2 linked regions of the Xenopus tropicalis genome follow. The main gene of each other region encodes a partner of the protein of the gene in region 2 in a complex. Links are inferred from orthologs where the notes say so. Each region holds a gene or a part of one and is shown on either strand. Other genes may lie near its edges.

What was found.
Region 1: the proteins of cct5 (region 2) and dcaf12 are in contact, whole or in part, in a cryo-EM structure (PDB 8AJM), measured with the Homo sapiens proteins. The link is inferred for Xenopus tropicalis from reciprocal best matches to the Homo sapiens genes CCT5 and DCAF12. Residues at the interface, in NP_036205.1 of Homo sapiens: Gly537, Glu538, Ser539, Glu540, Glu541; in NP_056212.1 of Homo sapiens: Lys91, Phe93, Lys108, His144, Trp186, Phe188, Arg203, Lys254, Arg256, Glu298, Val300, Arg344, Phe411, Tyr422, Leu440, Pro441, Ser442, Gly443.

What each region holds. Positions count from the first base shown.
Region 1 is NC_030677.2:211,229,351-211,233,824, forward strand, and holds the start of dcaf12 (DDB1- and CUL4-associated factor 12), read right to left. Parts: upstream 2,955-4,474; 5' UTR 2,849-2,954; coding exon 2,786-2,848; intron 337-2,785; coding exon 82-336; intron 1-81. UniProt on the Homo sapiens protein: Substrate-recognition component of a DCX (DDB1-CUL4-X-box) E3 ubiquitin-protein ligase complex of the DesCEND (destruction via C-end degrons) pathway, which recognizes a C-degron located at the extreme C terminus of target proteins, leading to their ubiquitination and degradation.
Region 2 is NC_030682.2:71,967,826-71,971,634, reverse strand, and holds part of cct5 (T-complex protein 1 subunit epsilon), read left to right. Parts: intron 1-1,273; coding exon 1,274-1,393; intron 1,394-3,411; coding exon 3,412-3,597; intron 3,598-3,809. UniProt on the Homo sapiens protein: Component of the chaperonin-containing T-complex (TRiC), a molecular chaperone complex that assists the folding of actin, tubulin and other proteins upon ATP hydrolysis.

The sequences.
Region 1 (4,474 bases), on a different chromosome or scaffold from region 2:
AATGTTTCACCTAGTGGGTGGCTGTTACCCCAATGTTTCCCCTAGTGGGTGACTGTTACCCCAATGTTTCCCCAGACTCACGGTGTTGCACTTGGTGCCGCACACCACTTGCCGGTGGTTTAACCACTGAGAGGCGAAGACTTTATTGAGGGTCCCCAGGTGGAACTCCCTCTCGGAGAGAATGCCGGGGAGAGTGCAAGCTGCGTGGCCGCGTAACAGACGAAGGTAACTGGAGTCATTGTGAGGCTTCAGCTCTCTGGACTTCAGGTAGAACACAAGCGATTTCTTCTCCGGGGGGAGCCTCTTGCGTTTATGGGCCGAGTGATCCCAGTCCGACTAACGGGGGGAGAAACCAAGAGTTAATGAGGGTAACGAGCAGTGGGGGCAGCCAGGCACACAGGGAGCAGCCTCGGGACTGGAGTCTGACACCCAGCGGTACTGATGGGCCGGGAGTGATACAGAAGTCTCTAGTAGGCTCCGCCCCTGATCAATAATAAACTGAACCCAAATTTAAAGGGTAAGACAGGGGCCTTATATGATAATAGGGAGGGATTGGGAAATATGGGTACAGACTTGGGTGCTGTCGGTGCCAAAGAGTAAGCTACTAAAGGTGCCAGGGGGCAATATGGGTGGTGGGTTGTGGCACTGTCTACAGAGGTGCCAGGGGGCAATATGGGTGGTGGCTTGTGGCACTGCCTACAGAGGTGCCAGGGGGCAATATGGGTGGTGGCTTGTGGCACTGCCTACAGAGGTGCCAGGGGGCAATATGGGTGGTGGCTTGTGGCACTGCCTACAGAGGTGCCAGGGGGCAATATGGGTGGTGGCTTGTGGCACTGCCTACAGAGGTGCCAGGGGGCAATATGGGTGGTGGCTTGTGGCACTGCCTACAGAGGTGCCAGGGGGCAATATGGGTGGTGGCTTGTGGCACTGCCTACAGAGGTGCCAGGGGCAATATGGGTGGTGGCTTGTGGCACTGCCTACAGAGGTGCCAGGGGGCAATATGGGTGGTGGCTTGTGGCACTGCCTACAGAGGTGCCAGGGGGCAATATGGGTGGTGGCTTGTGGCACTGCCTACAGAGATGGAAGTTACAGGTTCCTGACCCCTGGAGCTGCAACTGCTATCAACTGTGGCTTCTCTGATTGGCTGCCGGACCCACAAACCCACAGGCAGTAAATGAGTTTTGCTCTCTCTGTACCCAGCCCGGGCACTGCCCAGCAGCAGTCTCGTCACTGCCCACCCAGCACTCAGTTAATGGAGGAGAATTAGATGCCAGTCACTGCCACCCATGCCGGAGCCACGGCATCTGCCTTCACTTACTGATAGGGATGCTGAGCGCCAGCCTGTACCCAGGGGCAGCAAGGGGCACTACACACGCACCGAGCAAGGTGGGGATGTTCATGGGGGTCTCTAGCTGAGGTGGCAAACGGCTAAGTTAAGTCTGGGTCCCTAAAGTTAAAAAAATATCCCCATACCCACTGTCCCACCTCTCCCTTCTATAGAGATTCCCAAGCAGGCACAGTGCCCCCACCCCCCCCCAGGCATATCATATTGAGTTCAGCCCCGCCCCCTGATACCTTGTGTGTATCCAGCCTTCCACTTACCTGCACTGCAGCCCCGCCCCCTGATACCTTGTGTGTATCCAGCCTTCCACTTACCTGCACTGCAGCCCCGCCCCCTGATACCTTGTGTGTATCCAGCCTTCCACTTACCTGCACTGCAGCCCCGCCCCCTGATACCTTGTGTGTATCCAGCCTTCCACTTACCTACCTGCACTGCAGCCCCGCCCCCTGATGCCTTGTGTGTATCCAGCCTCCCACTTACCTGCACTGCAGCCCCGCCCCCTGATACCTTGTGTGTATCCAGCCTCCCACTTACCTACCTGCACTGCAGCCCCGCCCCCTGATGCCTTGTGTGTATCCAGCCTCCCACTTACCTGCACTGCAGCCCCGCCCCCTGATACCTTGTGTGTATCCAGCCTCCCACTTACCTGCACTGCAGCCCCGCCCCCTGATACCTTGTGTGCTCCCCGGGGCCCCCCACACAGGCACCTACCTGCTCCCCTCAGCCCCCCACACAGGCACCTACCTGCTCCCCGGGGCCTCCCACACAGGCACCTACCTGCTCCCTGGGGCCCCCCCACACAGGCACCTACCTGCTCCCCGGGGGCACCCCACACAGGCACCTACCTGCTCCCCGGGGCCCCCCCACACAGGCACCTACCTGCTCCCCGGGGCCCCCCCACACAGGCACCTACCTGCTCCCCGGGGCCCCCCACACAGGCACCTACCTGCTCCCCGGGGCACCCCACACAGGCACCTACCTGCTCCCCGGGGCCCCCCCACACAGGCACCTACCTGCTCCCCGGGGCCCCCACACAGGCACCTACCTGCTCCCCTCAGCCCCCCACACAGGCACCTACCTGCTCCCCGGGGCCCCCCACACAGGCACCTACCTGCTCCCCGGGGCCCCCCACACAGGCACCTACCTGCTCCCCGGGGCCCCCCACACAGGCACCTACCTGCTCCCCGGGGCCCCCCACACAGGCACCTACCTGCTCCCCTCAGCCCCCCACACAGGCACCTACCTGCTCCCCGGGGCCCCCCCACACAGGCACCTACCTGCCCCCCTCAGCCCCCCCACACAGGCACCTACCTGCTCCCCGGGGCCCCCCACACAGGCACCTACCTGCTCCCCGGGGCCCCCCACACAGGCACCTACCTGCTCCCCGGGGCCCCCCACACAGGCACCTACCTGCTCCCCGGGGCCCCCCACACAGGCACCTACCTGCTCCCCGGGGCCCGTTCCAGGAGCCGCCCTCCGCTTCCTGCTAACTGCTCTCCGGGTCATGCTCCCCCCGGCACGACACCCACATGGAGAGGCTCCGGGCCGCCGCACAGCACATATAACGAGAAGTGAGTCGGAACCGGAACAGAACCAGCACGGCAGCCGCCTGACCTCTCACCTTTGCGCGCCGCTATGACGTAAGACTTTTTTTTTCCTCCCTAGAAGGTCCCTCCCACGTTTCCTTAGCAACCCAGTACGGGGACACAAAGGGGCGGAGCTAGGAGGGTTCCATAGTAACAAGCTGAGACGCCTGTCCTGGGCCGAACCAACTGCACAGCGGGGGTGGAAAGAGAAACATTGCTTTGAAGTTGTTTTTTTAATCAAATAAATTACATTTTTGTCTTATTTTATTGGTTTATTTCTATTCTTCCTCTCCTCCTCAGCATTAATGCAGGGAATCTCCCTCTGTACAACAGTGGTATGACCCAAGCCTGAAGCCTGGCCCTGAGTAGCCCTCAAGCCTTGGCTGTTATTTTCTTTCACTCAGCGCTTATTGCGGGTCAGTGCCGCCTCTACATCAATTCCTGTACTGACCATTTGAAAAATTGACATTTTTTTAAAGAATTTTCTTGCAGTGACTTTTCCGTGCGACTTTTATATAGTAAATAACAGATGAGTTTAGTTGAATTTGAAAAAATAAAACATGAAAGAGAAAGGATGGAGTTTTAGTAAATCTGCCCCGTGGCGTGAGCGGCGCACGTACAACTTTTTCTGTGAAATTTGTTTCACGCCAAATATTTGCAGCCGTTTAGCGAAAAAATGTGCCGATGGCAAAAAGGGTAACTTGGCTGCAAATCCATCGCTAGGGGTGAAACGCGTAGGAACCGAGGGGCTCAGCATTAAGGTGGCCATACACGTAAAGATCCGCTCACCTGCCGAGGGTTCTTATCACAATATCCCCACCTACTGGTGGGCACATACACCTACGGGTGGGCACATACACCTACTGGTGGGCACATACACCTGCGGGCAGGCGCATACACCTACGGGCGGGCGCATACACCTACTGGTGGGCACATACACCTGCGGGCGGGCGCATACACCTACGGGCGGGCGCATACACCTACTGGTGGGCACATACACCTACGGGCAGGCGCATACACCCCCGGGCATACACCTACGGGCGGGCACATACACCTGCGGGCAGGCGCATACACCTTCTGGTGGGCACATACACCTACGAGCGGGCACATACACCTGCGGGCGGGCGCATACACCCCCGGGCATACACCTACGGGCGGGAGCATACACCTGCGGGCAGGCGCATACACCTGCGGGCGGGCGCATACACCTGCGGGCGGGCGCATACACCTACGGGCGGGAGCATACACCTACGGGCGGGAGCATACACCTACGGGCGGGAGCATACACCTACGGGCGGGCGCATACACCTACGGGCGGGAGCATACACCTTCGGGCGGGCGCATACACCTACAGGTGGGTGATATCAGGGGAATTTAGGCTAATTCGGTTGTTTGGCCCTGGGCGCAGTCAGTTCGGGGAGCGCATCAACCAGCCAATGTGGTCCCCAATCCGACTGAATTGGATCCGCAGGCTGGAGATGTTCATGCTTCGTCGGCTGCTTCGTTATGCCTCTCCTTGCGACAGGCCCTTTTATAAGGTTGCGCC
Region 2 (3,809 bases):
TGCTGAAAAAGTAACCCTCGGCTTATACTCGAGTATATGGATTTGAAGCCGTAATGAGCTTGTTGCGCGCCATCTCCATCCTACACTGCAGCCGCTTTGTGTTGCGCCCAGATCAGCGATGGGATCCCCATATGTCTGCCCGAACCTGTCACTTAGTATGGCAGCTTAGCCTTCCCAAACTTGGCTTTGTCTGCTGCTGTACCATTTTTCTTTCCCTGTACCTGTTTTCTTTCCCAGTGCTCTTCAAGGCAGGAGGGTCAAAGGGTCCTCCATCCACCTTTCCCTAATCTGCAGCTGCCAGCATGATATATTTATGAAGAGTTCACAGGGGGTCACCCTGAGTGTCCTTTTATTATTTATTTGATTATAGAAACTTAGCAGTAGCGGCTGCATTTCCCACCCTAGGCTTATACTCGAGTCAATAAGTTTTCTTAGGTAAAATTAGGTACCTCGGCTTATATTCGGATCGGCTTATACTCGAGTATATACGGTACCTTCAGTTGTTTCAATAGTGCCCTTAATTCTCCACATATTTCTCCCGTTCAGATGATTAGAAGCCAGACAGGAAGAAAAAACGCTAATCTGTGTAAAGAAAGTTCCCATAATGTCTCGCTTCTGAACAGACACCCAGACCAAGTTAGATTATGGGGCACATTTACTAATCCACGAACGCTCCGAGCGTTCGATCGGCGTATTTTCGGGTCTTTTTCGTACTTTGTGACAAAATTGTATTGTCGCACCGAGTACGAAAGTTTCGGATTCATTCAAGCTTCGGAATCGTGACTTTCCTTGGGCCAGGTTGGAGCTGCACAGTGCCATTGAGTCCTATGGGAGGCTTCCAAAATCATGCACAGAAGGATCAAAGTCGGAAAGGTGTTCCAGCATTTTACGATCATTCGGATATGAAAATTTTGAGACTTTCGGATCGCCAATACGATTCGAATTCGTGTTTTCATGAATTTGCCCCTATGTGTCAGCTTTCCTGCTGATTGGCTCAGATCTACATTCCTAAAGGAGGGAGTGAGTTCTTAGCATTCTTGAGGGAGGGGGGAGCAGCAGAGAGGAGAGAGCTGAAAGCTGTGTCTCTCTGGCAGAGGAAAACAGACACAACTAATCTTTTGACAGAGAAGTCAGTGCAGCTGTTTCTGTGAGTGCTTGTGGCTGTATTTACATAGACCTTTCTGATAAAGCTTACTTAGTTTTTACTTTTCTTTTTCCTTTAACCACATTTAACTGATGTTAGAAATACTGCTTTTGCTTTAATTTCTTATAGATAAAAGATACAGGTGCAAATCTTGCCATATGTCAGTGGGGCTTTGACGATGAAGCAAATCATTTATTATTACAAAATGAACTTCCTGCTGTTCGATGGGTTGGTGGACCTGAAATAGAGGTAAATTTTTTTTTCTTCTAAAAAATAGCAAAGGCAACCAAACAACGCTAAACCTTGAACATTCAAATCTAATACATGAGTAGTTTAATCTTTCATGTTTAATTTTTGGAGGGATAATCAAGGCAGGCAACAATTTATTTTGTTTTTATAGCATATAATTATTTTTTACAGACCTCCCAATGTTTATCCAGATCCTATATAAATGCATATATATCTGCTGCTTTGATTTTCTTTTTCCCCTTTCTTTTCTCCTGCTTCTATCCCATATTATGTTCTCCTTATGTTTTCTTATACTCCTTTTTTTTCCTACCCTTTTATAGCCACATTTTTTTTTTCCTTTTCCCTTTTTTCCACTTTATTCTCACTGTTACTCTTATACTAATTTGTCCCCATTCCTACACTTTTTTTATTCTCACAAAATGCCCCTACTCTGAAACCATGTTATTTACTTTATCTGTTGCAGTTTTACATAAATATTGGCATAACAATGCAATTCATTTCATATCGTGTATGCATGTGTACAGCTGGAACAATATTATTGTGTAAAACTGCATTTTGTAATATTATCTGTGTGTGTATGCTTTTTGCTAAAGCCTTCCTATATTCATATAATGTGAATATCGCTTGGTTTGAGCATTGGGCAGGTTTGAAAATCTGAAAAGGTGCATTTGCAGATGAGGAAGTGAAGAGAAACCCCATCACCTTTTGATGTCCTACTGTTACACAATTTTGCAGAGAGCTTCTTTTTGTTTGTGTTTTTTCAATTGCCAGAGCTAACTGGGCAGAGAATAGAAAAGGACTGGCAAACTACTTATAATAGCAATTATATATACAAATAACCTATAAACCATTGCAAATTTGTAATGAATGTATGTTGCAAAGTTGCTTAGAATTGTTTTCTTTTATTAGGCAAAACATTATATGTTGGGCTGACTTGTCACCAAGGTCTGTCACTGCTATGTGTATTTGCAATACAGTAATTTCCATTCACAGGAGCTGTGATAGGAATGCCTTAGCCTTTAAAACAGGGTCCCCAACCTTTTTTTACCCGTGAGCAACATTTAAATGTTAAAAATTTTTGGGGAGCAATAAGGGCTGTGATTGGTTATTTGATAGCCCAGTGGTGACTGGCAGACTACAGGAGGCTCTGCTTGATAGTACACATGGACTTTATGCCTCCAAATCTTGTCTTCAAGTCAGAAATTTAAAAATGAAAACCTGCTTTGAGGCCACTGGGAACAACATTAGAGGGGTTGGTGAGCAACATGTTGTTGTCTTGAGCCCTTGGTTGGAGATCACTGCTTTAAAAGGACAGTATAACTCCTCTTTCCCTCATGTCCTTTGGCAGCACTTAGACTGGCACTTAGAGATGTTGTCCTGTGGGTGGGTAAAAATATTGACCCTAGTTAAATTGACACTCGCTCATCCACTATAAAGATCCCTCCTCCCTTTGAGATTAATGGGTTTTTTTCTACTGGCAGGAATTATACCATGTTGAGGTTTTCCTGAGCCCCTGTCAGATGACTCTGCCCCCAGATAATGGGTAAGACCAGGGCATCTTTCAGATGTCTCTGCCCCCTGTCTTTTATGAAATAGCAGCCTTACCATTATGAAGATGCTCCATGAAAAGGGGTTCTAAATACAGACAGGAATTAGAAGTGTGCTGGATGGCACATCTGGATATCAAGAAACCAAAAAGTTGTCAGGAAGCAGCGTTGTAAAATGAGAACTCTCAAAGTTTATTTATCCATACATAAAAAGCAAAAGGATAGCCTATCCTTTTGCTTTTTATGTATGGAAAAATAAACTTTGAGAGTGCCAGTGCCTTTTATTACACATGAGGGTTTGTTTGCTGTTGTCTCTTTTTTTGCAGTTAAATATAAAAATCTATGTTAAAACATGTTTTCATTAGTCTGACAAAAATGTGCATTAATTTGCAGACTGTTTGTAATGGTTATACATGTAGATCATTATTCTATAGTAGAAGAAATTAACTTCTTCTTCTTCTTGTTTTGCAGTTAATTGCTATTGCAACAGGAGGCCGTATTGTCCCACGATTTTGTGAGTTAACTCCAGAAAAACTTGGTTATGCTGGTATTGTGAAAGAAATTTCTTTTGGCACAACCAAGGATCGAATGCTTGTTATTGAGCAATGCAAGAACTCTAGAGCTGTAACTATATTCATCAGAGGAGGAAATAAGATGGTAAGTTTTCTTTATTTTTCCTCTTCAACTTAATAACAGACTTGATATCATACACTGTTGGCATTAGTTTGAAAAATGTTTCATTGTGATTCAATGAAAAATGAATGCATTAGAGCAATTATTTTACTTTTAAGAAGTAAAATGAACTGCCTGCACCTTTTTTTGGGGCGCATGCGCGCAGCTGACCAGGCAGGATGTGTCTGTGAACGCTC